Lepisosteus oculatus: one gene and its partners. The protein of the gene in region 4 interacts with the protein of the main gene of each other region in a pairwise test. Links are inferred from orthologs where the notes say so. Each region holds a gene or a part of one and is shown on either strand. Other genes may lie near its edges.

What was found.
Region 1: the proteins of rgs2 (region 4) and nipsnap1 interact in a two-hybrid assay, tested with the Homo sapiens proteins (2 studies listed by BioGRID and IntAct). The link is inferred for Lepisosteus oculatus from reciprocal best matches to the Homo sapiens genes RGS2 and NIPSNAP1.
Region 2: the proteins of rgs2 (region 4) and lrfn1 interact in a two-hybrid assay, tested with the Homo sapiens proteins (2 studies listed by BioGRID and IntAct). The link is inferred for Lepisosteus oculatus from reciprocal best matches to the Homo sapiens genes RGS2 and LRFN1.
Region 3: the proteins of rgs2 (region 4) and git1 interact in a two-hybrid assay, tested with the Homo sapiens proteins (2 studies listed by BioGRID and IntAct). The link is inferred for Lepisosteus oculatus from reciprocal best matches to the Homo sapiens genes RGS2 and GIT1.

The regions. Positions count from the first base shown.
Region 1 is NC_090717.1:4,647,304-4,654,802, reverse strand, and holds the start of nipsnap1 (protein NipSnap homolog 1), read right to left. Parts: upstream 3,333-7,499; 5' UTR 3,127-3,332; coding exon 3,044-3,126; intron 2,280-3,043; coding exon 2,161-2,279; intron 1,939-2,160; coding exon 1,893-1,938; intron 1,606-1,892; coding exon 1,511-1,605; intron 1,155-1,510; coding exon 1,084-1,154; intron 1-1,083. Other genes in the region: lrrc74b (leucine-rich repeat-containing protein 74B), read right to left, coding at 4,377-4,407, 4,790-4,875, 4,982-5,110, 5,892-6,014, 6,262-6,357, 6,652-6,730, 7,465-7,499.
Region 2 is NC_090698.1:3,518,834-3,526,592, forward strand, and holds the start of lrfn1 (leucine-rich repeat and fibronectin type III domain-containing protein 1), read right to left. Parts: upstream 3,108-7,759; 5' UTR 969-3,107; intron 1-968. UniProt on the Homo sapiens protein: Promotes neurite outgrowth in hippocampal neurons. Involved in the regulation and maintenance of excitatory synapses. Induces the clustering of excitatory postsynaptic proteins, including DLG4, DLGAP1, GRIA1 and GRIN1.
Region 3 is NC_090721.1:10,575,567-10,583,204, forward strand, and holds the start of git1 (ARF GTPase-activating protein GIT1), read right to left. Parts: upstream 3,106-7,638; 5' UTR 2,244-3,105; coding exon 2,192-2,243; intron 1-2,191. Other genes in the region: ankrd13b (ankyrin repeat domain-containing protein 13B), read left to right, coding at 5,404-5,511. UniProt on the Homo sapiens protein: GTPase-activating protein for ADP ribosylation factor family members, including ARF1.
Region 4 is NC_090704.1:12,399,152-12,406,999, forward strand, and holds the start of rgs2 (regulator of G-protein signaling 2), read right to left. Parts: upstream 3,040-7,848; 5' UTR 2,948-3,039; coding exon 2,838-2,947; intron 2,587-2,837; coding exon 2,500-2,586; intron 2,342-2,499; coding exon 2,280-2,341; intron 1,941-2,279; coding exon 1,774-1,940; intron 1,408-1,773; coding exon 1,213-1,407; 3' UTR 1-1,212. UniProt on the Homo sapiens protein: Regulates G protein-coupled receptor signaling cascades. Inhibits signal transduction by increasing the GTPase activity of G protein alpha subunits, thereby driving them into their inactive GDP-bound form.

The DNA of each region.
Region 1 (7,499 bases), on a different chromosome or scaffold from region 4:
TAATTCTACTGATATTTGAGCTAATTTGTTTTAAACTAACCAGCTTATCCTGATAGACCTGTATTTGGCACTACAAACAGTATGTTCGGATGTACAGTGGAAAACAAATACGTTAATGATAGGGAACAATGAATCAATTAGACTTGACTGATAGATACTGTATGATGGAATAGCTATTGCAACACTTTATATTGGATATTCACATTTACAATTGAACCACTGTGAGTTTTTTAAAAATCAATGTGAATTGAAAAATAAGTGACAAGCTTGGTTTCTTCTCATCTAAACTAAGCATTCAATGTGCTCAATAACATTCAATGTAATTTTCATAGAAGAAAACACTAATGAAGGCATCAGTACATTGCTGATGCTCATAACAATCACATATTTTAACTCTTGTCATCCAAGACACCAAAGACTTTTGCACAGCAGAGTAATTCAGAATGCATACACTTCACTATTTGACTTCTTTAACACTTTCTAAACATGACACGAGCATCATCACAGGAGCAAAACAAAATCACAAAAAAAAAAACCAAGGTTACTTTAGAAGACCAATGTTCCATTCACAAGAGATTCTTGACATTCTTTAAATCTACATGGACTGCCTAAATATCTTTAATCCACAGGAAGAGAGAATGTATACTATGTAACCTCATACAGTATGATAACTATTGCATATTGTTTACTTGGTGTTTTTAGTGCATTTTCTGGGGTGTGATGTATTTTTATAAATCCTTTCCAGAGAAGTGACAGTGAGCAAGCCTATTTATACACCTTGGGATCTTTAGTAGTTATGTATCAATTCATCCCTGAAGACAACTACCTAAAACTATTAATATTCAACTTTATGATGCTGTTTCTCCAATATCTGAATTGTTTCCAGTAAAGTCACCAAAACAGAGGTACCTGTATATACACGCTTAGCCAGAACCTCACCAATTAATTTGATTTAACTTTCTCTTACCTTTGTATGCAGTCAACACACCAACAACAGAAGAACCACATACAGTGACAAACAGAAACAAATATCAGTGACCATCAATTATAATATGAAGGAAAAAACAAGAACCAGTTCCATACCTTATCCTGCCACAACTTGTTTAAACATTCAGTCAAGGCTGGATAACCCCCAGAGTATCGCCAGAGGTGCACTGCAACAGCAGAACAGCACAGGTAACTATTGCTTTGTCCTACCACTGGAAAACAGCAGGGGTCGCTATTACTTACCCTTACCACTTGAAGAATACAAACACGGGTTTTTCACCCGTCTTTGTATTCTGTTTCAAGGAGAAACAGCAGATCAGCATATAACCATTTAATACCCACCTGAACTACTATAACCATACTGATCACGCAGAAAGCTACAAAAAAGGGTCCGTTTTACAACTTTGGTCAAGTGCCATAAATATGGATGGATAGTGAACATATGACAAATCTCCTACGCTTTTGTATAATACGTATGCCATGAGCTCAATGCAGTACTGAATGAGCTACAGAAAACACTTACCAGCTTGGTCTTGTTCCCCATACCAAGTGTTCCAGCTTCCCACTATCTCACAAGGATAGTCCTTGTCACAGTGCAGTCGGTTCTGAACCTCAGCTCTGCAGGCCACAGACAACAATGCCACAATTGACACTCGAACTCCTTCTATCACCGAAAGTGTGATCAGAGCAAGAAATACCTGAGTAAATCATACTGATAATAATCATGAAGTCATTGCTAATTACTGGTGGATTTTAAAAAATTAACTGCATAAGCTAAACCACAGTGGACCCTTCTGAAATGTATAAAATACACATTCACCACCATGAAGGTGACTCCATAATCCTCTGAAGTGATTAAACTAAGCGTGAATGAGTCAAAATATAAAATACAATGTACTACTTACGATAAGTTGTTATAGGCGTCTAGGTACTCTGGTTTCACATTGTGAACTGAAATAGGAAGGAAAAGAATCTGCTTAGTCACAAAGAGTTTGTAGTAGAGTCTGTTTGCATGGGTGCAGGGTGTATATTGTATATGAATGGTTGGGTTGTTGTTATTGAGAAATCCAGTGCACACAGTGCTTTACAGAATTTTAACAGTGGCATTATTCTGCATAAATTCAAAAACTACCTGAAGAAACAGCAGCACCATTTGAGGTCATCTGTACTCACACTGTATTTTGTACAGGTTGCTGGTCTCTTTTTTTGACAGCAGGTTGGAGTGGGCATCTTTCCTGGGATCAACTTTATGCACAAACAAAGACTGGAACCAGCTTTTGTCTGCAAGACCTCTATTAAATGGGGAGACGGATAAGGGGTGTAGGGTGAGAAACATATTGATAAACAATGTTTCAAGACAAACACCGATTTCTGATTTTGCCTGTCTCAGAGGCTTCAGTCAAAGGTATGTTTGCCAAGACGGCATGTTTCCAATAAGCAGCTCACAACAAATAAGTCTAATTGATTGCTGAGTATTGCCCACTTCAGATGTTTTTCAGCACTGGCTACTCCCTGTTCAGTACATCAACTGTAGTGGTCATGTGATAGCGCCTACTGCCCCGAGGGGCAAAGTTCAGGAACCAGGAAAACGATTGACTTAGACATTAGACCTTTCTCAATGTGTTTCATTTCCTCACATCTGCACGGAATAGTAATTTAGTGAGCTTTCGTGCTATTTCCTAGAACACCAACTACTAAATAGGAAAATGAAAAATGAATCGACTCCATTACGGTCAGAAACCATTTGTTTTGTTAACAACTGGTCAACAACATCATTCATTGTATTTTACAACCGGAGCGCCTGAACCCTTCCGATCAAAGAAGCTGCCATAATTAAAAATATCATACATTTTCTTTTTTTTTTCTTTTAGAAAACGTGTAACGTCCTGTCTAACGTCAGGACACGAGCATTTGCAATGCACCTGCAGGCACATCTTTCACCTTCGTTTCTAAGCACAAAACACTGCAGTGACAGGAGTCTATAAACAGCAGAATAAACATATATATTTAACAAAACCATGCTCTCTGTTAAACCTTGCAACTAGTTCGGCTTTACCTTTTAAAGATGAACAGCCCCAAAGTATTCTTACACAGTAATTGCTGGGGTTTGGGCAGTTTTAAAAACCACGTCGCCGCCATCTTCTAGTGTTTTAAAAACGCTGTGCTTTATTTAAAAGAAAAATACTGGCTGAAATTGCAGTGGTTTCTGGATGTGTCGCACGTGTAGATCCGTGTGTCACATTCACCCAAATCACTCGAGTTTAGTTCCTGCTCAAAGGTTGCACACGTTCAAGTGACGTGATCCTGAATATAACTAAGGAACAAAATATCTTCGCAACGGAGATCGATTCATTGACTCTAAAATAACAAGCCAATGGCTGTATGCCTGGCTCTTACAAACAACTGTTTTTTTATAATGTCCTATAATTATTGTTTTTTTCCCACTGTGTGTAATATAAACCTCTCTCTATGGTCTTTAATATACAATAATAAAAAATAAACAAGTTATGTAATCAAAATCAAAATAACACGTTCTATGAACAAAACAAATTATTAATACATTTACAGTGTGAATGATGCACACGAATGTATTTATTTCCGTCCTTAATCATACTGTATATTAATTAGTAAAAGTCTTTGTACTGCTACTAAATGTAAATACTGTTCTCTTATCATGCCAGTATGCATTATGTTTTTTAATTTGTCGTATACACGGGATAACTAAGAAAATTATGTTACTTAGATGTATGTTGGTCATTCTAATATTAACTAGTCCCACCCACAAATAATATTATCCATTACATTATCTTAATTTATTTTTAACAAAACCACATACCCTGCTCTAGGCTTACTTTTCTACCTTATCATTGTTAATATGAAACATCATGTACAGTATAATTTCTGTTGCACTATTGTTAACAAACTGCAACACCTCTGTGTTTTTGTGTTCGGCACCCAGACTTAACCATTCTGCTGTTTCCCCAATAACCTACAGTAAGTAAATAAGATGTGTTTTCCTAATGTACGTTAAGCTAATCATAAAGAGGAATAATATATACAGTATTCATATTAGAACTTGAAAGTGTTTTATTATCCTGTGTAAGGTTGAAAATAACTCACACTTTCAGATGAATCTGAAACAATTTATAATTTAATTTACTTATTCACTTCTTATGCTCTTATTGACTTATTCAATTCTGTTGCTTTTTTTGTGGGGACAAAACATTAAATCTGTTACAAACACATGCACCACTTGTGAAGGGACGAAAGAAGATTCAAACACAAGGAGACAAGGAGAAACAGTCAACATTGTGATCTTTTTATTATTCGTGCAAAATGCCAGAGCGGTCCAAGGTACCCACGATAATAGACAGATACAGTATGCGGTGTTAAGCTTTCTTCAGCAATGTGCTAAACTCTCTGAAAAACAGAAAAACAAAAACAGTTGTAAACTCACATCACTCTGGGGCTATTATAAAACTAAACCAGAGAACACAAGAAAAACAGAAAGGAAGGAGAAATCAGTTTCATTTCCTCACATCTGGATTATTTGTATTACCAAAAGAATATTGTTTTGTTTTTTGCCTCTATCTAATACTGTACACTATAGCAGTATATGGACAGCACATGGCTCTCAGACACATTCAAATACTACACAACATAAAAATGTTTTAGACTACACATCCTAACTAATCAGTATCTTCAGAAGGCTCATTAGCTTTCTTCATATTAATATATGCTTGTTCAAAAGTGTGCAGCTAAGACTCCTCTAAAAGGTGTTACAAAGATTATTTCAGTGTACCTGAAGTCAATCTCACCACAGTTGTCCTTATCAAGATCATCCATGAGTTGCTGCACTTCTTCCATGGTTAAACAGGTTCCTATCCCCTGCATCAAACAAAAAACACTCATGAGCTTTTGAGCAATGGCAATTTATATGGTAATAATGTTACACATTCCAGGTTTATGACAGAGGCGCTGTGCGTTTACTAACCTTGAGTCCCAGCTGAAACTCTGCTCTAGTGATGAGAGCACTTCCACCCTCTTCCACAGAGTCAAAAGAATCCTCAAGCTTCAAGTTGTTCTTTTTTATGTGATACTTCAGTTTTCCTAAGGGATCTTTCTAGAGGTGACAGGAGCACTTGAGGTTGGATATTGTTTGCTCATTCATTGCAGGTCCAGCAATCATCCATTGATTCGATTCTGTAGCTGCTATCGTTTAATACAGCCATATTTCTTGCAGTAATTTATGCATTGATGTGACAGTTTCTACAGTATGTTGTTTATGTCAGATCTTTTTGCAACTTCCCTCCTTGCACCCTATTCTTCTGGGACAGGTTACAGGTTGATCCTCGTTATGAATAAGCGGTTTTCTGATACTCTATTGCAGGGATGGATGGATGTTTTTGATGTAAAAATTTTAAAAAAGACAGATTTTTCTATCATTTCATCTACATATATCTCAAATCTATGCATGACTGTACAGGCAGTTGGAACACACACAAAAAAAATCTAACTAGCAAGTGGAGGTTAATTCCAAGTAGAAAGATATAGAACTATAACTCTAACACTAAGACTCAACAGCCGAAACATTGTGGTTTTTTCCTACTTTTCAGGATGAAATTAACCTTTAATTTTTCCTTGTCGGCTGATGACTGTATTTATTCGACAAAAACCATTGACCTATAATTATATACCGTTTTCATAGATTCGACAGGTGGTTTTATCTTCTGAGTATCATTCTTGCGCTAGAAGGGGGTCTGTTTTACCCTGTTACAAATAAAATTGCTTTATGCGTTTTTAGCAGTACAGATTAATATTCATATTCTGTTATAATATTCCCCGAGGTGGAGTGTTGTACAGTAGTTGCAGTCCGTCAACAAGCTGTTCGCTGAGCAACTTACTGGGACTTTAGATGTTTTGAAAGAAAAGCTGTCTGCATTTCTTTCGTGTTTCACCTGCAGGTTCGGAAACATTTCTTTGACTTTGTTGTACAATTCATCAAAATCCTTGTTCACGATGATGTCCTGAGAAAAAATATACACAGAACGTTGATTAGTATGCACACACCCATTCAAACAAGGACAGTAATAGTATAACAGCAAACTATTTTAATATGTAATATGTCTGTTATCCGTAACATTCTGTAGGATGTGTATTGTTTTGCATGAGGACGTGAAGAAAACAGTAACTGAGAGCAACAGTTGTGCCATCAACGAAAAGTAAATATATATGAATAATTCTAAAATCAAATTAAAGCCGAAGGTGTAGTACAGAGAAGTCCAGGGTCTCGATGGCAGATTCAGGGTTCCCTTCCATTGATTTTAGTATCCCATAACAGCCAGCACTCTGCATTGGATTTCGAGACATCTAGAAAAGAGAAAGGGAAAGAAATGTGCCTTTAATCCCTAAATAATCTTTATGGTAAAGTAGATATCTAAGATTTCTGTAGGGGGCCCATGTACTTAACGTCAGTCTATTCTTACTTTTCAAAACTGTACCTATAACTATAACTGTTGCTGAATTGTATAGAGGGTTATTTAAAAAGAAAATACAAATGGCTTGATATGTCAAGCTAAAATAACAGGTGTGTTATGTGCCCATATCTACTGTACGGGGGACACCGTAGGAATTATTTCAAAAGTAAGAGATTTCACATCTTACACTAAGGATCTTCAGTGTCTTGTTTTCTTTGAGTCCCATGGCAAAGCGCACTGCACCTTCAGGAGGGATCTGATTGTTACTAAAACAGATACATGCAAGAAAATGATAGCTTTGGAAACGGGAGCAAGACAAAATCTTTAAAGCAGGGGTTTCAACTTCAGTTCCCGGAGGGTTTGGTGTCATTATGTCGTCTTTTCGTAGTTTTCCAGCTCTTGTGTCGCACAGTCTGTCTAATTAATTAAATATGTAATTTTAATACTTTTATCTAGATCCGTAGGTGTTTTATCAGCAATTGCACACATAATGACATGAATGCTCTGAGTAATAAACAGTAAAACACCTCAGGAAAAATCCAATGGATTTGAAATAAGAAAATAATTAGATTGTTTCTTTAATTGGCTGCTCTGGCTGTGATAAAGATGCAAGACCCCTCAGGCACCTGTTTTAGAAACACGTTCTTTAAAACATAGAAACATGTTGTAGTATTTTATAACAAATTCAAATTCAACTACTGAGACATGCCTGTCCGCTTCAATTTTCACCAGAAAAAACACCTATTTACAGCATTTATTCCTAGGAGTTGCACAGGTATAAAACTTTCCATCTACACCGGATAGACATTTTCAAGCACACAGTTTTCTTCAGTAAGTTAATAATGTCAGTCGGTACTTAAAGACTTTACATGTTTCTTCATGCTATGCTAAAATCAGCAGAAAGAGGGAGACAAAAGTTAAGTTTACAGTGAAATACACTTTCATTGGATGGTGGGCATTCATCTGAGTTCAGACTCTACTTTCACATACTGTACTGTACCTGATGTTCAAATCTTCAAGCACATTGTTCACCTT
Region 2 (7,759 bases), on a different chromosome or scaffold from region 4:
GCAAACAGCAAAGCCTCCCCTGTCTCAGTGTGCCAGCTGGCAACCCTAGATGCCATCTCCCTAAGGAGACGCGGGATCCGTTTCAGAATCAATGCAAGGTAGAGGAGTAGTGTTCATGCAGACTTCCTGGATCGGTCTTAGATCATTGATCCCAGCTCACACCGCACAACACGCTTCATTTGAATCTCCCCTGTGACCAGCACCCCTTATATAACCCGTACAGATGAGTCCGCTTAGGGCACGAATGGCGGTAACGAAATGGATAACAAGTTGTCTGGATGTTGGTTCAACAACACAGAGTTCCATCCGGGGGGAAATCATTGAGGAATATATCTCTATAACCCTGTAGAGACTGAATAATCACAGATTCAACTACACAGTTACTGGGCGAGAAAAAGAGACGGGAGGACAGAAAGACCGGGCGATGACAGGTCCCCCACCTCACTGTTTATTTGTCGAGTTTTTTGGGCGAATGGGACCGGATCCGTCTTTCTTCTGGGTTTAACTAACGCCATTAGGTAACACGGAGAACTCGCCCAACAGAACAGGAAGAGGTGACAGAATCCGCGGTGCTGAACGATTAAACCACAGCTGGATACAAAGTAAACACTCTCCTAATAGATTTTTCGTTTGTTTACTGGAAGATCCACTTCACTGTCTTGATTTATGGTGTTAAACCCTTTCCTAATCCTGTTATATTAGGAAGATTAAACGGGGAGGGCAGATCCACACAAGTGTGAGGTATCACCACATTCTATAGTTAAGTAACAAGAAAAGACACCTAATCCGCCCTAATTCTTGATTAGCTCTCGCAGTTTAACGATGAAGCACATTCAGTGCATCTCTGCTCCACGTTACCATTATGCACAGCAATTTCATAATTAAAAATAAAGTTGAGCTAAAACAAATACAGTATATCGCTCGTACTCATCGATGATTAAGACTGGTAGAACTGGAATAGCATTTACCTTTGAGAAGGACCATTAATTTGCTTAATACGGCGCGGTCCAGTCTGGTCTCGTGGGTAAATTTCCTCAAAATCTCCAAATATCATCACCTTGTCGTAAGGAGCGGTCGACTATGAATGCAAAAGGATCCGTTTGGGTGTCTTGTGTATAATGACAGTCTGTACCTCCGAGGAAACCAAATAGGTGAAGGAGTAGCGCCTCACAAATTAAGTATCCAAAGAAGAAACAAAAAGAAAATAAAGAAGAGTGTGCTCGGGAAACAAAAACTTCTCAGTGGAAATTAAAGAAACTGCAGAGCGCTATTAGAAAAAAAAATCTCCGTAACCCGCATAAGGTTAAATTGAAAACCGCACCTTAATTCCAAACCGGTCCACAGAAGAGGCGGTAAAAAAGCCACAACCCAGATCTGTACTTCCAGAGCAAATGTCCTACTAAAGCACATAGCACCTGAAAAGGAGAAACGAACAGACCACAAGGTATGCCCTTTAGGTACTAAGCGTCGCGAACAGCCCCTTCTTCCGTATAGTCTCGAAAAATGATCTCCGGACCCTTTGGGTAATTCCCGTTTTGCTTGGTTAGCTGTGATAATAATGAAGGATAACGCAGGGAACCGTCCAGTCCTCTGTCATCACAGATAGACAACACTTTGGTGACAGCGATTTCTTAAAAAAAAAGACGCAGAGAAACCCGGCAGCTGGGGGGGGTTTGATTCAGAGGAGCTTGTGATAATTTGATCTTCCTCCGTTGTCCTCTCCCGGCGTCCTGGCGTCGAAGAGATTCGAAACTCTCCAGCGCAACACAGAATAAACTGGAAAGACTTTACTTCCCCCTTCTTATTTTCCGCGTCTTTCCCGGCTTTTAGGAAGCACGGGTTGATCGAGCAAACCAGCCTGGCGCGGGCTAGTTCTCCATTTTAATGCCTCAGACCTCGTCGCGCTAGATCCCCGAGGATTTCCACTTCATTTGGGATCAAACAAGGGAATCCCACCCACGCACATTGCTAGCGCGTTTGAAATGCACAGGCACACGTATACAGTCTATGTGTACATGCGTGTGCTCTCGCATCTATGTTGCCGTCCCCCGGCTGCCCTCCATTCCCCCACCGCACGGACGCAGCGGGCTGTTTCTTGGAAGAAATCAGCTTGCTGTCTCCAGTTTCACGCCACGGGTGAAAGCGAGCAGGGAGGCAGAGGGCAGCGCGCGTTTGAAAGAACTGAGGGCAGAAAAAATGACACGCATCCAGGCAGGCCTGTTAATTTAAGCCGGATCTGGCCAGAGGGAATCCTGCAACGGGACTCCTCTCTTTAAAAAGATCAAATGAATCAAGCGCTTAAGCGGCTTGTGTTTGGGGGACTGGCAGGTCAGCCCCGGTTTGATACCACGCACTGTAAATGCAGAGCGACGTGTCTTGGCTTGGCAGCGGGTCTCGGAGAACGGGCTGGGCGGCTCGATCCAGCCGCTGCGTGAGCTTGTAATTTGTCCTTATTTGTTTCCGGATACACGCCGGTCTCGCCGTTGAGCCCGCCAGCCCCGGAGGAACGGCAGGGTGTTACCGCGCTCCTGCGCTACACAGCCTACGGAAGAAGAGAGCAAGAAAGACATCAGTTGTCCTCGGCGATGCTCGAATCGGATGCGTTGTGGGAGTGTTGCGGCATTCCAGTCGCATCCCAAAACTTTGCATAAACACTCGGCTGATTCCTGACGCTCTGAATGATTCCTGCGGCACGGCAGCGTAGTTTCTCCTGCTTGAAATACAGCATGACGGTTTAGGAGACTGTCCCGGATACGAATGCAGGGGTGTGTTTTTTTTTATTGCTGTCAAGCTATGAAGCAAGCAACACTACATAGAGATTGACGCTCTGCTGGCAGGATGGCTACGGCGACCAGCGCTATACAGTACATGCCAAGGAATCGAAAGAATAAACAACCCTGCAGATGTCTTGCGACAGGGAATCATCGGCTAAATCGAGAGGCTGATTAATTACTAAAAGCTGGAATCAGTTTCCAGTATCTCCGTAGACAAGGCGCCCACCAGACACTAGGAACTCCGCTGCCGCGCGGCTTAAGCGAGGATGTGCGAGTCTGAGAGATTATTCCCAAAGCTCGCCTGTCACAGGGAAGATGGGGGTTTCGGGTCGCTTGCCGGCAGATATGAAGGCATTCCAGGTCTAGCATTCATATACTCCAGCTAAAACTGATCTCAAAAGACGCTGCGCTGACATTCAGTATATCGCTAGCCTGAAGAGGTGCTGAGATGACTGGTTATAAATTGCTAAGGAAATGTGCAGAAAGAGGCTCTGTATTTTTATTTCAAGCTGCATCACATAGAGATTCCTTCCCTCACCCGAAGCAACAGTGCACACAGTAGTATCATAAGCAGAGAAATTAGAAATGTTGCCCCTCCGTGCCATTACTTCACTATCAATCAGTTTATCGGATCCCTTTCAATTCGGAAAAGGGCTGTATGTACCTTGTACCTCGACTTGCAAACCTTGTCAGCAGAAGTGAGTTGTCACCCTCACGCCAGATTTCATCCGGAAGGGACACGGCTGTACCATTTCTTCTGGTGTCTGAGTGGCATGGTGAACAAAAGCTCCGAGCTGGTATCTATAGTGGCTGAACCGTACGATTCTAAAGTGAAAACGGAATGTATGCACGGAGAAATGTATATTTTGGAAGGTGAACCTAACATACTGTACCAGCAGTGGGGAGCTGTGATTAACGGCTTGGACCCTAACTGGACGGTTGTGGGTCGAAATCCCATGTGAAAAACAGAGCTATTGTAACCTTGAGCAAGGTACTTCACTCCGCTTGCTCTATTAAAAATGCCCAGTTGTATAAACGGCTGCAAAGGGAATGAACTATAGCTAAACAGGCATCGTCAGGCACATTAAATACAACAGATCTTACATTTTCTTTCTGACAGTTTATGCGATGGATTGCGGCTCAGTGGGACGCTCGTTTGCATATTCAAACCATTCCCCACAATGTCGCTGTATTTATTTTCCCCAGAATGCTATAAACCTCCACGAAAGCTGTCAAATGAATGAACAATGTCTTAATCACACACTGCTCCAGTGCTTCAGACACTTATTGCTAACTTTGTGCAATGTTTCCTTTAAAAAAAACCCCACCATATTATACCACATTTGCGCTTAACGCCTTGCGGGGAAGCCGAGGAGTTTCAAGACGATCGAACCCGCTCCGGCTCGGCGCCGAGTGAAGGAGCTGTCCAGCGCAGAACGGCCCTGAAGTACTCTCGTCGATGGTTTCTGCCTTCTGCCCTGCTCACTTCCTAACTACAAGAGTCACACAGGAGGCATTTAAATACTTCAAGTAACCGACTCGTGTAATTGGAAGAAAGATTAAATGATACTGACAAAACGCCTTTTTTTTTAATGGCGCCCCTCTATCACCTTCGGAAGGCTAAGGTGAAGTGTAACTAACGTCCACCTTTACAGTAAAAGTGAACGCAAAGCCATCTTGAAATCAAAACTTAAATTTTTGATTAAAGAAGGGGGGACAGCTTAAATAAACTACTGTAGCACCTTCCAGACATTTCCCATGCTCACGAGCGTGTATACGTGCCGTGCACTTTTGACTGAACAGTTCAATGTCTGGGACTTTCCTGAACCCTCTGCCCGCCGCACTAACACACGGAGCAGCACTCCCAGTGCGGATACACATACGAGCACAAACAGGGGAGACAGAAGGGCGTTCCTTGCCTACTGCCTACCGCTCCCCTCTTTTCTCGATCGATGATTTTCACCAAAGAGGTGCTGCACTTCATCACGGCTCAGACATAAGCGACAGCCGACAGACCTACGGGGCGCAGACGCTATTTTCAGGGTGCGCGCAAGAGTGAGACAGATGCATTAGCAGGGCTTTTTCTAGATTCCTCCGGTGTAACTCCGGTGTTAAAAGGATAGGGCAGACAGAGAAAAACAACGCTATTTCTTGCCTTGAAAGAAGAGCACAGAGATGGAGAAGGTCAGAGGGACTTTACCATTTCTTGTTTCAGGAAATAATCTACGTCGTCCACAATAGCTAACGACACGCGAAGCTATTGCTGTTTGACAGGAGAAAAGGGGATGATGCAAAACTTCTGAGGAATTAAGTAGTCCTATTTGATAATAAAGTCTAATCACTTTTTTTAATAAGTTTTAGATTAAATTAAGTCATTACGAGATAAATCACATAATTAAATAATGTGATCGAGCGCCTCTGCTGGCAAGAAAAAGCATTTACATGACCAAGCTTTATTAAAGCAAGAACAAGTTACTTTAGAGTACATTGGATAACCTTCTTGAAACATCTTATTACTTCACTAAAAAATGAAAGAACACTCCATTATTAATATTACATAATATTACATTGTTATAGTTACATATTTTTATGACTTTATCATTTCCAATTATTTAATATTTTACTTTTTCTGATTTAAGTTATATTTAAGCAAGGTTCCTGTGTCCAGGTTAGGACAGAAGCCAGATTTTTTATCTTTCTATACATAAAAACACAATATAGTTATATTTCAAATAATGACTATACATATTTATAGACATCAAAGTTGTAAAATATGTTGTAAAGTTGAGTAGAATGCCCCACTAAGCCTACATAATAAAGATGATAAAGAATCCTTTTCGGTTTAAACTGGAAACCTGTAAAATTGAAACACTACGGTTGGAGTGTTCTTATATCTGAAATTGTCTGCATGCTTTCAGAATCTGAGGTCTGCAGGAAGCGATTGTGCAGTTAACAGCAGTGCACAGTTCACAGGTCACCTTTTCTAATACTATAGTAGTGGGGAAAAGACATCAACCAGATTCAGAGCCTAAATTAGGGTTGGAGGACTTGTCTGAGAAATATTAAAAGAAACAAACATTTTGCTGCTATGTTTGTTGTGTAACGGTTCTTCAGGAGTTTTATGCTGTATCAGCGTTTTATGTCTGTATCGGCACCTATATGAGATAGACAGAGACTAATGATATTATTGACATAATAACAGCTAACATACCTGCTAATGACTACCTTAACCATCAGCAGGAAAAAAAAGACCCAGCCAATATTATTAGGCCAGGCAAGGATCAATATCAACCATGGAAGGTCATTACAAATACAGAGAGAAAGCCCTAAGGTCTTTGGTCTCACACTGATCAGTGTGAAGGCCGTTTGTTAGGATGTGTCTTGACAGCACAGATGGGAGGTTTGGGGCACTCATTGCCTAGAATCTGAAAACTTGCAGAAAGGTCTTATATTTGTGGTGTGAGACAAGAGGCCTTTTATTTCTATTGGACTATAAAGCAAAATGACACTCAATCTTGGGACAGTGTCTAAAACTCAGATGGTGTCCAGGGGTATGATCCAAAGCACAGACAGAGCAGGAAAAGGGTCACAAATTGTCAATCAGACATCACTCATTTGGTATAAACCTCCTCTCTTCATATGGACAACCTTACATTTCTGCTGCCTTCTTCCTCTCGAGCTTTCATCTCATTGTTGCCTGTGAAAGCATCAATCAAAAGCAGTTACTGTACTACTGAAGCTGTACGCCACCAGTACTTCTGGATAGTAAGTTAACACCAGCAAAGGCACACCACTGTAAATCTTTTTAAAATGCTAAATGAAGAAAATGTTTCTGAATGTACAGGTATTTGTAACATGTCATAAAAGCTCGGAAAAAAACTCTAGTCGAATGCAGCAGAAAGAAAATTCATTTTAGTGGTTCTGGCTGTCTTTAGGCATAATAGAAGATTTAGTTTTTGAAGCTCGGAATGCAATCCAGATACACAATGTTGTGCACATTACAGCTCTTGCTCAGTCTTCAATTACCCTTATGACAACATGAGGAATTCTGACTGTAAGGACCAATGTTTTATTCTCTGAGAACTATTTTCAGACACTTGTTCAGTGGCTTTGTCTACAAATCAATACCAGAGTAAATAATTTATTTAGTAAAACAGAACCTTATAAATTAGACTGATTAGATAGCTGACAACACATTTGTAGCAAAAGACATTGGAGAATGTTGTGCATTTCACGCCTTTAGAAGTCAATAAGCTGCAATGCCTACAGGACGAGGTCTATTTATTTACTTCTGCGCCTTACAGATGAACAATATGAGTCTGCCAACAGTGATGGAAGCCCCAATTATTGTTATAAGATTTTTAAAAATGAAACATAGACTCTCGAATAAATAAGATGTATTCTCTAAAATTTCAAGCTTATTTCCTTTTGATTTTCTCAAAAAAAAACCAACAGAAATGTTTGCATGATTCCTTAACTTTAAGAATAGTTTGGGGTGTGTGTGTGTGTGCAAACAGCTCTTGAAGCCAGTCATTAGAATACATTCAGCCTACGGCTTATGGGTATCCCTTAAATAATCAGTTTCTAAACACTTGGAACATCGTCATTTTTTTCACTGAAGCAGATGGCTTCCTCAATTAAGCTGTTTAGAGATCATTTGATCTGTATGATCAAATGAAAGCACCAACACCCTGTAGTTCCTAAGGACCACTTCTGGCCATCTCTGATTTAAATGAACCAATTAACTTACTGAATGGATCAAAGCTCACATTCTATGTGTTTTCTTACAAATTGACAATTTAAGGGTGACCTATTAGCCCTGCCGGATTGTGACTTTCTAGGATGAGGGCTGGCCACAGGACCTAGAGATATAGCTCTCTATTCATATCCAGATCTACAACGTGGGCATATACCCATCTGTCTGTTGAAATATCGAAACAGTGTTGTATATATTTTTCTACACATAATAGTGACAGACAGAAGAT
Region 3 (7,638 bases), on a different chromosome or scaffold from region 4:
GGGAGGGCTGTGGATCTCTCGCTCGGCTGTACCCCCCCCCCGACTCCAGCGGCTGGGCTCGCCCGGCAGGAGCCCTCTCACAGGTCCGCTGGTGAGCAACGTGCACACAAGTGCACAAAAGTATGTTCTTGTGCACTTTGCCACACTCTCACCTGCGTGCACCACGACCTCCAGTGCCAGGACACAATGACCAGCCCCACCTGCAGCTCTGCCGACTCTAGCCCAATTCAGCACATCTATCCTAATTTAATTCCCCCTCGCGTTCACTCAGTTCTTAGGGGAGATGAGCTGCTACGCAGAATATCACAATTTTCCATCACATATCACTGGATCTCTGTCTCCCTCTCTGCCTCTTTTATCTGGAAGTCGAGTTTGAAAAAGCCGAACAAAATCTACTGTGGAACAAAGCGCTTTGAAAGCCCCCCCCAACCCTTACAGAATACAGCATGTGCGAGTGTTCATGCTCTCCGGAAAACCTGTCACCTCTCAAAAAGCTCAACATTTGTCTGGTCGTCGCAAAAACAAATCGACTTTCCAGACCCTCTGACAGACTAGTCGGCTGCCGGGAGACAGACCGGGCTGCGCAGCCAGCTGCTACTGTGGTCCCAGAGCCAAGAGTGACCAGCTCCAGGCCAGGGGGGTGCTTGTGTGTATTGGGGTCCCAGGGCCAAGAGTGACCAGCTCCAGGATGGGGGGTGCTTGTGTGTATTGGGGTCCCAGTACAGAGAGTGACCAGCTCCAGGCTGGGGGGTGCTTGTGTGTATTGGGGTCCCAGTGCCAAGAGTGACCAGCCCCAGGCTGGGGGGTGCTTGTGTATATTGGGGTCCCAGTACAGAGAGTGACCAGCTCCAGGCTGGGGGGTGCTTGTGTGTATTGGGGTCCCAGTGCCAAGAGTGACCAGCTCCAGGCAAACAATGTGCATACTGTGCCCCAGTATTTAGATTCAGCAGTTCTTTCTTTAGCATTTACTCCAAATATGGCTCAAAGTGTGAAGTGTTGCTGCACCTGATACTCGTGTACAGCTCGTACTGCAAAACCTGGAAGGGCCTTGCACAGCGTTTACAGAGAACGAACACATCTCCGCAACCTCTTCCTTTCCAGGAATCAGGATTTAGACTCCCGTCTTGTGCAAACCGGAAACCGGAGGCGGCAGACGTCCAGCCGTGTCTTGTCAAATCTCAGCTTCTCGACTACTTTATAATGTATGGCTGCACTTCAAAGATTCAAACTCCTGCGCTAGGTGTGACCCCCGAAAAACAAGAACAAACTGCTTAGTCACTCAGGGTGACGGCACGTATGGCGCTGGGGCTCGGCAAGAACCTGCCCACACTGTGACCCCAAAACCTACCGAGCGCAGCAGCGCCTGGTCTGGCGTCGCCGGGCTCTGGAGCCTGCAAAGGCATCCGCCGAACTCGGTTCACTCAAACTCCGAGGGTTTAAAAACAACAAAAACTGGTAAATTGCGTTGCAGGCAACGACATGTTCGGAGGCGGCTGGCTTACTACTACAAAACCAGTCGACTTCGGAATAATGTAATGGCCTCTAGGGTATACACAGTGGAAATTGTCTTTATCGACAAAACTGTTTTCACATCGGATTCCAATTAAAACTGCCATTTATTCTTCTGATTGAATAAAAAAAACTGCAGTTAATGAGAAATAATACAATTTCGCCTTTCAGTAATCACGGTATTTAATGTCCCAGTAACGCACACCCATTGAGGTAACAACTACCCAGCTAGACTGGAGAATCTAGCTAGTTACCCAAAACAAAAGGAGACGTTTTATTTGAAAACCCAGATTTTTAACGTACTTTCCCCTGAACAGCTCGCTTCGTATAAACGTGTACAATATTAAAAATATACCAGTAGATACCACACGCAATGTAATGGGATAACGCCTTGTCAGTTGGAAAAAAATAAACATAATACTACAATTAAACACTACGAGTGGCGTATGATTTCGTGTTAATAGGTATATTTTCGACCACAGCAGAATCTTTACTGGGAGAAATGGTCACTGCAAGTGGAAGGGCATCTAGGCCACAGAGCGCGCCGGGCCGCTTTCCTATTTCCCCGATCCCGGGATGCGACCGCCATCTCCGGTCACCCTCTCCCATCCCAGTGCCTCTTCCCTCCCCGAGTTGCCAAACACCAGCTGCTAACAACGCCTTTTAAAAAACAAAATCTTACCCGGCGCGCTGCAGTCGGCGCAGACCTCGCTTCTTTGCACTTTCCTGGACATTGTGTCCAATGGTGTTGAAATGTTGTTATTTTAGTCGCCTTTCCGTTCCCCGGGCTGAAAAAGGCTGGACTGCCGCTTCCCTGCTCCCGAATCGCCCGGAAGCCTCACAGCACGGAACAGGTTCCCCGGCCTCTGCCTGCGTGTGTGCGTTTCTCGCTCCCCAGTGCACAGAAATATCCCCGGTTTTCCTATATGGCGTCGGCGTACTGAGCAAGTGGGTTACAGGGGAAACTGGGATGATTGATTTCATTGAAAGGGAGGCGAGGGCAGTGTTCGTGCGTGGAAAAAGCGCAGCACTTTCCCCGGTTTTCCTGGCTTCCCCCTGCTTGCCGCTCTCCCCTCCTCCTCCGGCACCGTCGCTCTCAGTTCGCTCGTTATCGCAGCCAGGGGCTGCTCATCAGACCACAAAGTACAATGAGATCACTGCAAATATCGTCCACAGCCTCCCCGCTCCCCGGGGGCTCCTAACTGCACGGTGGGGTCCGCACACGGCAGCCCCTGTCCCTCTGTCTGCGCCTTCGCCTGCCTGTCCGTCCGTCCGTCAGTCAGTCTGAGCCGAATTTAGCGCGTCAATGATCGTTTTCCCTCGCTAGCATTGCGGACACGGCTTTGTCTTATTCCGAACACCCCTCTCTCCCCTCACCTATGCATGAATAATTCGACTTTAAGAAATTAAAAAAATAGACCCGTGCTTTCAGTTTTGCTTTCACCATAAGAATCAACGACAATCCAATGATATTTTCTTGCACCTGTTGCTCTTTGCGGTACTGCCGGCGTTGAGGTCGTATTACAGCACGCCTGACCAGTCCCACCTAACAGCCCAGGAGCTCGCCTTTGGACGGTGGGAGGAAACCCACCGCAATGTGCGTGAACATGCGGAGTTGAACCCAGGATCAAGAGCTGCGAGGCACTAGCGCTAACCGCCGAGTCACCAATAAACCGTCAAGCAACTCCCATTAAAAACAGACACCTGCGATTAACTACGTAGGCAGCTACTGTAGTTTCAAATGTAGCCCCGTCTGGGAGGAACCTGCATGTTTCCCTGCGTCTTGACGTAGAGTCGAAAAAGTCGCTGTATTTAATCGTGAAGCGCTGGAAACACAGCGGTGTCCAAGACCTTCGGGAGTATCAAGAGGCGGTGGTAATTCAGCCGTTTATAAACACCAAATACATTAAGAACGGTTACAAACGAGAAGACCATCTAGATAATTGGTTTTCAGTAGCTAATTGATCCAAAGGTCTCATCCAGCTACTTCTTGGAAAAAGCCTGGATATCAGCAGCATATAGCTTCCATCAGAATCCCCCAAGCCTATAAAAATGTCTCCTCTTTTCAGTTTCAAACGCGCTTCCACTTAATTTGGACTTGTGTGCTCCGGTGTTAAAGAGATGATATCGAAGAATTCCTTCAAAGTCGTGCGCACTTTCCCTCGGTCGAAAAGGCTTCTCCGAGGTTTGTCAGGAATACCCCTGAAAGCTGGTTTGTCCTCAAGTGTTTTCTGTTTTCTTCACGGGTTTTGTCCAGATGATCCACGACATTGGACCTCAAGTGAGACTCAGAAGCCCTTAGATTCCGAGACACTCAAAATAAGTGCGGTAACATGCACTTAATGTTGCAGTAGAAGATCAAAGATATTACCCTCTGGGCCGGAAAGCGGTTTTTCAAACACTTAAAAGGACGTCTTTAAGACGTTAGATATCCCATAGCACTGTGATAAACCACAAGCTTGGTTAGCATTTTACTTTGGTCCGGGGAGACCAGACATTTGGACCGGGCAAAAGCGTAAACAGCGCGCTGGAACAAAGATTTCGCCTGTGAGCTCGTCTCGAGGGGCTTTGAAGTCGATCCATGAGGAATTACTGAGTGTCCTGGCCTGGCCCTGGCCTGTCCTTCAAGCAGACTGGCCGCCAGACGGATTAGATCCCCCAGGAGCGGCGTGGAGAGACAGCGCCCCCTCTGGCCCCTCTGGCCTAGAGCCCCTCATGGGGGTACCCGGGGGGTCGTCCTGCCCCACCGGCGACCACATTAACAAAGCAGCTACTTATGAAAAGAGAAATTAAACTGCAGAGACAACTGATTCTTGTGTTTATAACTATGCTCCCTTGACTAGTCTCACCTGCGTCGTTTTGTTCTAGAAAGCGAAGAATGGAAACGGAATGTCCTTCTGATCGGATCCGCGCGTGTGATTGTGACTGGCGGCACCGCCCTAGCGTCCTCAGCCCAGAAAGGCGCTATATACACGCAGGCTGCTGCGACGGCGGAGTCCACGTCCACACCATGTTGCAAGCCCGGCGTCTCGAGCCGCGTGTTCAATTTGACGCGTCAACATTTGGACACGGTCCTCACGACCGACTCGCCCAGGTCTGCTCGGTCAGCCCGAAACAAAACACACACACACACACTCACTCACTCACACACACACACGGGCTGGCGGGCGGTGAGCCCTGCACACTCACTCACACTCACACGCACTCACACTCATTCACACACACACACACACGGGCTGGCGGGCGGTGAGCCCTGCACACTCACTCACACTCACACACTCACACACACACGCGAGCCTGCGGGCGGTGAGCCCTGCACACTCACTCACACTCACACACACACGGGCTGGCGGGCGGCGAGCCCTGCACACTCACTCACACTCACACACTCTCACTCTCACACATTCACACGCACGACGCCGCCACAGCCGCGCGTGTCTGTGAGCCGGGGGGCAGCAGTGCTTCGCCGGGTAACATGTTCAGCTCCAGCCTGTCACTCCAGCGGCCAGCCAGACCGGATGAGCTGCTTACAGCTCGAGTCAATACGCGGAAAATCCTCCCCTCGCCCGCTCATCCTCGCAGAGCGAGCGAGAGACGGAGAGAGAGAGGGAGGGAGGGAGAGAGAGAGGGTACAGACAGGGAGGGGGCGAGGAAGGTGGAATCATCGGAAAATCCAAGAAAGGCGAGTCGGTCACATATGAATGTATTTATTTTTTATTTGTAATCTCTATTCGAAAGCCTTGTATTTCCCGGCCGTTAATTGCTCCCTCTATCTATTCCGCTATATCTGTATCATGCTCCTGTAACCAGCCGCTATTCCGGCTCCGGCGATCCTGAGAATATAATAACCGGGGAAAAAAGAGAGGAGAGAGAATAGCGAACTATGCACAGAGGATGATTTCCACAAGGAGAACTCCGGAGAAAAGTAAATACCCCCTGCACACCTTGGTGTGGTACAACAGGCATCGCCAGCTGGAGAAGGAGCTGACCGCGGAGGAGCAGGTAAGGCGCAGCTCGGCGCCCCAGTCCGCGGGGCTGGGGCGGTGTAGCCGGGGGGCCGCCCAGGCTGTGGGGAAGACAGCGCGAAAAGCGGTGGCGAACGATTTCGGGATCGAGGGAGTCTGGTCTGATAGAGCGGCATCGTCTGGCGTTTCGTCGAGAGGGGCGGCACGGCAGCAGACACGATGTCGCTTGCCGGCTGGGGTCTCCTGTCACTATCGCCGCACGCAGCCGCGATGCCGCCGGTGCAGAAATGCAACTGAGCGTCGCCAAGGCTGTCCGAGCGGGGCTCGGGGCTCGGAGGCGGGGGACCGGCAGACCGGTAACGGCTTCGAATTGCATCGGGAGCCTCCGCGCTCGCAACCCCGAAAAACACAACGGGCTGCCATCGCCCGTCCGCTGCCTGCCTTCTCCGCGGCGCGGGTCCGAGAGAAGTTGGCGACGGTCCTGCGGGTTTCAGCGGGTTGAGCGCGCGTGGTGAAGCGGGGGCCGCGGCAGCTCGCGAGCCGCGCGAGGCAGTGCGGTGCAGCCCGGCAGGTGGGCGAGGGGCAGCGCGTGGACGGGCGAGCCGGCACCTCGCGGCACGAGCCGTGTGGCAGGCTGGGGCTGTGGCAGGTGGATTTAGTCATTTCATCTGGGTAGTGAGAGTGTGCCTGCTTCTGTGCACGGAGTGAAGTCTCATTATATATATTGCAGTACAGCTCACTGGAAGAAACGTGCGCCTCATTTATTTAACTAAATGTAATGTAGTACTTAGCATAACACCAAAAAACACAACCGAAGCCTGACATCTCGGCGTTGGGGATAATGCACAGACTGCGGGCCTAATGGATAAGACACCGGGCTGGAATGACAGACAGGCTTTGTAACGCGACCAGGAAAGGCACTGAGAATCTTCCCTCGTCTCTGGTTCTGAAACGACTTACATAAGAGATTCTCTGCATGGTGCAGGCTATAGACTGGGCGCAGGACGGATGACTACACACAGCGCTTTCCAAATGCGCGAGAGGAGCGATAGAGCAGTTTCAGCGCCTGATCAGCGCCGACAGCGTTTTTAGATGCAGGAAGTCGCCCAGCCTTTTTGCCAGACACAGACGGATGAGCTAAGTCGAGGCGATGGCATGGTAGGGGGTAGGGGTGTGTGTATTTTCTGACGCGTGGCCTGGGGTCGGGGTGACGATTGTGGGGGAGAGCCGAAGACCCGCTCCTGGTCCTGGGGTCCGAGCTGTATCTCCTCGTCACGATCGCTCGCAGGGTGATGGCGCAGGGGAAGATGATTGTGTTTCCCAGTGGGAACATCACAGATCACGTCCTGTAGGTACCCCTTGTCGGCATCATCCAGGTGGATGCTGCACATTAGTGGTGGAGGGGATCCCCATTACCTGTAAAGCGCTTTGAGTGGAGTGTCCAGAAAAGCGCTATATAAGTGTAAGCAATTATTATTATTATTATTATTATTATTATTATTATTATTATTATCCTTGACTTCCTGACTTTCCTGTCTTCCTCTGGATCTTCTTCTTTGCCGGACTGGACAGCAGGCCGGGGGCAGTGGTGGTGCAGTCAGAGAGCAGGGCTGTGGGCAGGGAGGAGGGGAGGGGGAGACCTGTCTGGACAGCACCGTGTATCCCATGAGCTGGGGAGCGCCTGGTGCGGACACCCGCCATAATCCAGCCCCCCGGGAGGAGGGGGGTCTAGTCCAGCCCTGTCAGACACAGTCCCAGTTTCTGCCCCAGCCCTCGCTGCTGAGCTGCTGGGATCCAATTCGATCGAACACTTCTATCCCGGCCAGTCAAGCTTTCATAGCTGACAAAATAATAATAATAATAATTGCTTACACTTATATAGCGCTTTTCTAGACACTCCACTCAAAAGCGCTTTACGGGTAATGGGGATCCCCTCCACCACCACCAGTGTGCAGCCCCACCTGGATGATGCAACGGCAGCCATAGTGCGCCAGTACGCTCCCCACGCACATAGCCTCAGCTAGCTGCGGCTTTTAATTCCTCGACTTCAAAAGACCTTGAAAAAGCACTACACGTGCCACAGTGAGCAAAAACGATTCATTGCGATTGTGGGGGAAGAATCAGTTGAGCACCAGCAGCAGAAGAGCTCAAGAAGCGCACCTGG
Region 4 (7,848 bases):
GTCTAAAATATTGTTTACTGTATGTTCAGAAAGTCATATATCCAATCATCAAATGTAATTGTTAATGTAAAAACATAGCAGCCTACAGTTACATATTCCTGTGTTTTTAACATTTACTTGGGGATTCAATAAGTATGAGCTCTTGAGAATCAACCTCAATTGTGATTTTGTAAAATTCTAAAGAAAATAAAAGATACAAAATAAAAATAAAAATATAATAAAGAATATATATATATATAATTCAGTACATTCACATTCTTGACTTATTTGCCTGAGGTTCAGGAAACACACTCTTTATTCATTTTCCATTTAAATTCTGTTATTCAAAGAAACAGGAAGTTGTTGTTCCTGAAATGAATTTTTAAATGCTTCAAATTACAGTATAATACTAAAATGTAAGCCATGTCTTAGATAAAGAATTAAATCATTCATGTAAATGAACGAAATAAAACTCTTATTAAAATTATAATTTCTGAAAAGTGTAGAGTTACCCTTTAAACACTGTTTACGGACTCTGTTTACGGGCTCTTTCTTAAGATCAATCCGTATTTGGAAAACAAATGTTGTGTCAGTAATTATACAGTATGTAAACTGTTCATTGTGATGGGATGTACAGTATGTAGCTATTTTTGGCCATGACTTATTACAAGTCAAGGAATGCTTGGAATCAAGTGATTACCTGTCTTTAGCGGTATGAATTGGGTTCCATGTGGACCAGCAGAAAAAGTACTAGAAAATGTAACTTGCTCATATACCATTCCACAAATTAACTTAATATGTTTGACTTTTCATACAGTTTCAGGCACTTTAGTGTAAACATATATTCTTTTTTTGGTTATAATTTTTTCTAGTTACTGTACTGCTCATGGAAGAATTACTTAATTTACAAAATAACTTGAAATTGAAAGTATATACATAAATACATAAATTGTTATTAAGTTTGTTTTACATGCATCTTTACCTAAAGCTTTTTATGACTGAAATTTTATAGTCATCCTCTATGGTCACCTATTACCTTTGTTTTAAAAACAGCTCATATCACACAGTGAACTTTCTCCTTGGACTCACAAGGGATCTTTTAAAAACATAGAGTTCTGTGGTGATGTGGATACTGTTTTCAGTACAGTATTTTCTGCAATCTGGCTATGCAAACTCCATAGCCATAGGCTATGGCTCCTTAGGCTTTCAAACTATGCAAGCCCCCGGTGTGGTTCATGATTTCAGGTATTTCCCTTTCCCTTGAGATATTGCCCACAGTTCTTTGTAGATTTCTGACTGTAAAAATCGTGGGTATGAATTATTCTCCATTAGGTTGTAGACTCTTTTCTGTGCAGCATTAAAGCAAGAGGTCATTGGCACCTGAAGATTCTGGATGATGGTATCTTTTGTATGAAAATCCAAATTGATCTGAAACAAATAAATAATAGCAGATATAAGAAGTCAGAATATTTCTAAAGAATTTTATTCCATATATAATAAATACACTTTTAAAGAAATTATATTTAAGTAAGAGAGTAGAGCATGTAGGAATTAAAGGTGTCAGTAATGTAGTCATTTTTAAATAATCAAGTAATAAGTTTATTCCATGCTGAAAAGAGAAGAAAGAAAACACAACGTTTCAGCCGTGGAGCCTTCTTCAGGTGTGAGCTCCATGGCCGAAACAACATTTTCAGCATGGAATAAACCTATTACTTGTTCCTTTAAAGCCTACGCATGCTGATGCAGCTACCCATTCGAAACATTTTTTAATAATGTCATTAAATGCATACTGACCTCTTTTGGGGCCTCACTCTTGATGAATTTGTTATAAATTGTATTTGCCCTAGAGGCTCGCTTCGCTGGTGACTTGATCTTTCTAAAATCTTCACAGGCAAGCCAGAACTCGATATTCTCTTCACAGAACTCTGATTTCAGGAATATCCGGAATGCAGCCTGTCCATCTGCAATACATGAGAGAAAATAATACTTTTAAAAGGAAGGAAAAAATAAACATCTTATCGAACAAATACTATAATGTAGACAGAAAAACATTGTAAACGTACTTGCAAAACCAAGCAGTAACACAAAGCTTACACAAAGCCACTTTAATCATAAGCCCACTGCAGCATGTGTGTAGCATTGTTTCTCTGTTTCACTTTTTTCTGTTAATGCACATATATTAATTGAGAGACAAATGACAGAAACAAATTCCTGTGCCCTGTTGACTTAGGCCCCGCTCTGATGTCTAGCATATTCACTTCAAAATCCTTGACATGATAAAGAAAGAAAACAAAACTTACATTTATGTGACAGAAGTTTTTCAAGAGACTGACTCCATTGGTTTACTTCTTCAACTGTAGGTCTGTCATGAAAGAACATGATTTTTTAGAATGAAATTTCACTGAGTGTCATCAATAACACTCAGATGCAAAATTAAAATCCCACAGTAAGCCATATATAATTAACATGTATTCTTAAACATATCTTTCAAAAAGTTTAAAATCTGATTGTATATGTTACCTGTAGGCTTTACGTCTTGAGGAATGGGCTTCCTTAGAGGAGGATTTTTGCAAGAAGTAGCTTATCCTTGATCTCCAGTTATTTTGTCTGTTATTGGAAACAAAATGCCACATTATAGGTATCTGTATCTGTCCTTGTATACAGCTTCTCTTCTTATTATTACCTCTAGTTCCTAGTTGTAGTATATGATTATAGTTAAACACTACACTGCATTGTACAGTATGTACTGCTAAAAATTATATAAGCATATTTATGCCATATTTTCCACTCTTGCACACTGTAGAAGAATCTATAAATCATAGTGAAAATGCAAATGTTATCATTATTTAGATACTTACTTGTTTCTCTTGTTTTCAACTGGGACCTCTGACATCTCTTCACCGCTAAAGCAAGCCATATCCATTTGTTCTGAGCTGTACAACAGGGGCAAAAATAATGTACTCTGCATCCTTTATTCACAAATACTTCCTACAGACCTCACTGTCTTTTTCAATCTGGTTTGTGTGGAGCTTTATGTCCTCTGTGTAGCGTTTCAGACATGGAGGCGGTGTTAGATTTACATGTACCTGCTCTGGAAAACCATTGGCTGCCTGGTGACAAATTGTTCTATGTGTTACTTGAGTAAGAAAAGTTCTCACTAGGGTACAGCTGTGACGTATAAAGTACACAAAGTACTGCCACAGGCAAAGCACAGGCGTAACTCTTGCTAAAGTACAGAAAATTAACACTTTGCTTTATCAGATGAGCATAGCTGTAATTCAGTTTCTTCATGCTTGCTATCTACACTGGTGAATTTGGCATTGGAGTCTGTCTATAGTTGGTTGTGGTAGAAACAGAAACCTTTTTTTTTTTCCCATGGAAAACACAATGCTCACTTCTCTTGACAAGTTATGTGCTTCTCATGTTTTAAAAGGTCCTTTATGCCTTTTCATTTTTTCATTTAAATTTTATTTTTTATTTTTTAAGTTTGAATCTTTGTGGGGGACAATTTGCCCATGAAGTAAAGGTTTCATTTTAAGTCCGTTCTTCTGTTGTTCATTCATGGGGACGACTAATAAAAAAATCAGAGATGAAACAACAGAGTTCAAAGTCCTACTTTGGTTCCTGCTGAAGTCCTATTACCTGATTTTTAAGCCCTCATATTTTTACTTATTTTTCATTTGTAGCTTCATTTTCAATTGTTAATTATTGCAAATACTGTCACCTCTGACTGCCCAAAACCCCTGTGAAAAACTTTGATTATACTTTTGTTTGAAAATATGTATATTTTCCTTGAAAGCTAAATGTGTTAAGTGCAGAGGATCTGTTAACAGTATTGTTTGAATCAGGGAACTACAGTATAACCTGGGTAAATATTAACACAGTCATAAAATTTTATAGTGGTTTTACCCTTAGGAAAATATGACCATCCTTATGAATCTACAGGATTTTTCGGAACATTAAAAGCTGTGGTCAAAGCACAAATAGTGACTGATGCAACTCTCTGAGCCACGTCAGAGTTCTCCTAACAGGCCATGACAATAATATGTATAGTACGCAGTAGAAATACACTACCCTTTGACCTATTCAAGGTGAAAAGGTGAAATGAAAATGCCAGTTATTTTATGTGACAAATATTTATAACCCTAACAAATCAAGGGCACAGGCTCTATTTAGAAGTGAGATAAATGAAAAAAATCACATTTCAAAATGATCAAAAACGGGCCAGCACAGTAGCTCCGCTGCGACCAGGAACTGGAAAAGCTGGTTAAAAAATGAATAGACTAACATATCTAAGAAAAACATGCATCATAATCTCATATGTAATTTATCAAATGATGTAATTATAATCACCAAATAATTTGCAGACTGACGTGGGCTCTGCTCCTGATCTGACCTGTGGAAAATGACACCTCAAAGTTGTACGCAGGACATACACTCATTTAGACAATCATTTCCTTTCCAACTGCAATCCTAAACAGAAACTCATAAGGGCATGACGCCACACCCTGTCAATACACCAGTATCCTGCAGGTTTCCTGTAGCACTGAGGAGTTGACAATGTGAATTAAGCCGAGAAACGTCTAGCCAGCTGTAATTAATCTTATGCAGTGACCATGCAGTTAGTTTAATAATGGCACTAGGGACTTCAAGCTTCCTGCCTACTGGCTATAGGATAGTGACAGACTTGAGTTTGAACGAGTTATTCCCAGATTGTAGAGGTAATACTGCTGTTGTGGTCAAACATTTTGTTGGCTGAAGTACAATGGAGAGCCTCTTGTATTACACAGGAGGTTTCATTCCATTTTGAAAACATGAATCTCAGCTCACATTTGCTTCATGTGCCACTGAATGTTACAGATACTGCACAAAATGAATGCTGTCGAAAGATAGAACTGTTTTCTTCATGAGCCACAGGTCATTGCTACAGTGAAACAAAAAAGATGTGGTTAATTTCGGCAACTGCAGGAGCCCACCACTTTTACCCTGAAATAATGTTTGTGTCACAAGGAGGTTAATGTTTTAGAACTTCACAATAAGTAGCATTTCTGCAACAGTACTTAAAAAGTTTCTTTTTTGTTTTAATTTTTGCAAAAGAATCATCTGTTAACAGTCTAGATTTCAAAATTCTGAACTTTGTCTTGATCGTGTCAAATGTTACCACCTCAGCATTACCATTTTAAAAGAATTTTATAAGGGAGGCAGTGATACACAGCACCTGAAGTGCACCTGGTGTAATTAATGTATACACTTTTACAGTGATTTTTGTAATCTTAATCTTGTCAGCATTAACCAGAAACCAGAAACCAGAAAGAAAAATAAAACACTGCACTTCGTTGTTAGGTTAAGTATTTAATCCCTTTGACAAACTACTTAAATTACTTTGAAAAGTTACGTGTTCAATTCAATGGCCTCTGTGTGCAATAACAGTGGTTCACATGCTTTCAGCATAAATATACCAGTCTCTGTAAGTTCTCCCAATGAGATAGTCCATGAACACCAGGAAGCTTTAAAAATGTCTTGGGGATAAAGGTGGCGAAAGTCACAGATCGGGAGAAGGGTGCAAAAATAAAAAACAGTGAATGTCCCTTTAAACAGGGTGAAGTTGATTATTTCAAAGAGAAAAGTGTATAGTACCACCCAACCAATAGGCTAGGCTAGATCAGGCTGTTCCTCCAAACTGAACAGCTGGGCAAAAGGAATCTGGTTAGGAATGCCACCATGAGACCAACAGTAACAGCAGTTACTGTTAATATCCTGATCATTCCACAAAGCTGGCCTGTGTTGCAAAACCATCTCAAATCCTGCATTAAGTGTACGACACTGTGCATTTAAGAGACATGGCAAAATATTTTTGGAACAAACACAAATGACACAATTTTTTTTAACTTAAATTTGAGAGTTATGTCTGGAGCAAACTGAACTCAGAGCATCACTAAGGCAACACCATCTCTACTATAAAGCAAGGTGTTTTATTTTATGTGGCTGCCACTCATCACCAGGGACTGAAAATTTTATCAAGAGGGGAAAATAGATGGTAATTCTTAGAGAAACCTGATTAAGTCTATTAAAGCCCTAAACTGAAAACAGTCAAAGAAAGAAGGAACACAACACAATGAAAATCACAATGGAATTATTTTTATCAGAAATTGTGAAAATCTTAGGACATTTTGAGCCTCTCTGTCCACCATCATTAAATTCTACTAAGACTGCTGTCTGACAGGGAGTGCCTCTAATCGTAGTCTACCGAGTACTATACTAGAAAACATTAAAAAATTACACTAATGACTCATTTTCCTTTGTATTAAAATTAAGATGATATACCTCAACCTTAATATTCTATGTAATTTAGTTGTTATAATTTTGAAATCTATAAATGTTTAAAGCCTTTAGTACATTCAGGTTACTCTGACTGTACATAATGACTGCAATTTAACTCCATGCAAACAAATCTTTCTCTGACATCTTGCAAACTACTACTACTACTACTACTACTACTACTACTACTACTACTACTACATCATCATCATTATCATCATAGGACAGCGTGGTGGTGCAGTATTAGTATTGCTGTCTCATGATGCTGAGGGCCTGGGTTCAATTGCGGACTTGGGAATCTGTGTTTGTATGTTCTTAAAACAAAAAGAAAAAGTCAAAAGAAAAAAAAAAGAAAAGAAAATGAACACCAACAACTTTATGACTTCTTCCCCATTTTTCATATTAGATCTTAAAACTGAAAAAAAAATTAAATGCTCCTGAAAGTAAATATACTTACTGTGTTTTGTAGCTTGTCATTTATGGGGTTCTTGAATGTCATAATACCAAAATGTTCAAGTTTGTTTTAAAAAGAAACACAACTAATATGAAGAATGCTTATTTACTTTGTAATTTGTTTGAAAGAGCATTGGAAACAATACAGCCCACGTATTTCTGAGGTATGCAGTCTGCAAACCTTTAGTTGTGACCTTTCGTGTGCCGAGCTGTGAGTGCATTACATGAGTAGGCAGAGATGTCTGCATTTGTTTTAAAATAAGACCACCTCTTCAGTCCCACCATAAACTAACAAACTCTTTTTCCATTTTGTTTTTCTTCTTTTACAGTATGTGTAAATTGTTTCCTTTCACACCGCCTACAGCTGATTAATGCGTGAACTTCAAAATGCCTCATTAAATACTTGCATGGTCAGAGCATACCAAACTGCTTGTAACCTGGCATGAACTGAATAAACTGCTAAGGAAAACTGAAAATAAACAATATTAATTTGATTTTGGATTTGAAAGTGCTTTTCACTGCTTCACAATGCATAAGTCATTGATTTAAATTGGTTCCTTACACAAGGTGTTTACAGCATCTGTGCTCTACAAACTGTACTTTTTCCATTTCCTAAATGATGTAATGCAAATATATCTGTAACAGGCTTTGACATCAATACCAGCTTTGTATTAATCCACATTATTCAAATTGTAAATAAAAGCTGGCTGCCAAAGGAATCGCAATGCAAACTTATTTGCATGAGTTCATAAACTCAGATAAGGAAGTTTATACTAGTAAACACATATACTGAAAGTTTGTTTCATATAAAGGGATACATTAATAATTGACCAAACAAATGTTTATAAGTGTGAAAAGATACTTCCAAGTACACTGTCCTTTTATTTTGATATTTCTAAATTTACCCGTTTACTTTCAGTAAAAAATCCAATAAGTGTTAACAACAGGAACAGTCTTCCAGTGGAACATTATTATGGTCCAGGGAGAGCAGCACAGTAATGCCCCAGTTTCTACTCACTTTCAAAAGACATGCTGGCTAGTTTAACCTGTGGTCCATGTGGGTCCTAATGCCCCAGTATAGTGATGGGGACACTATAC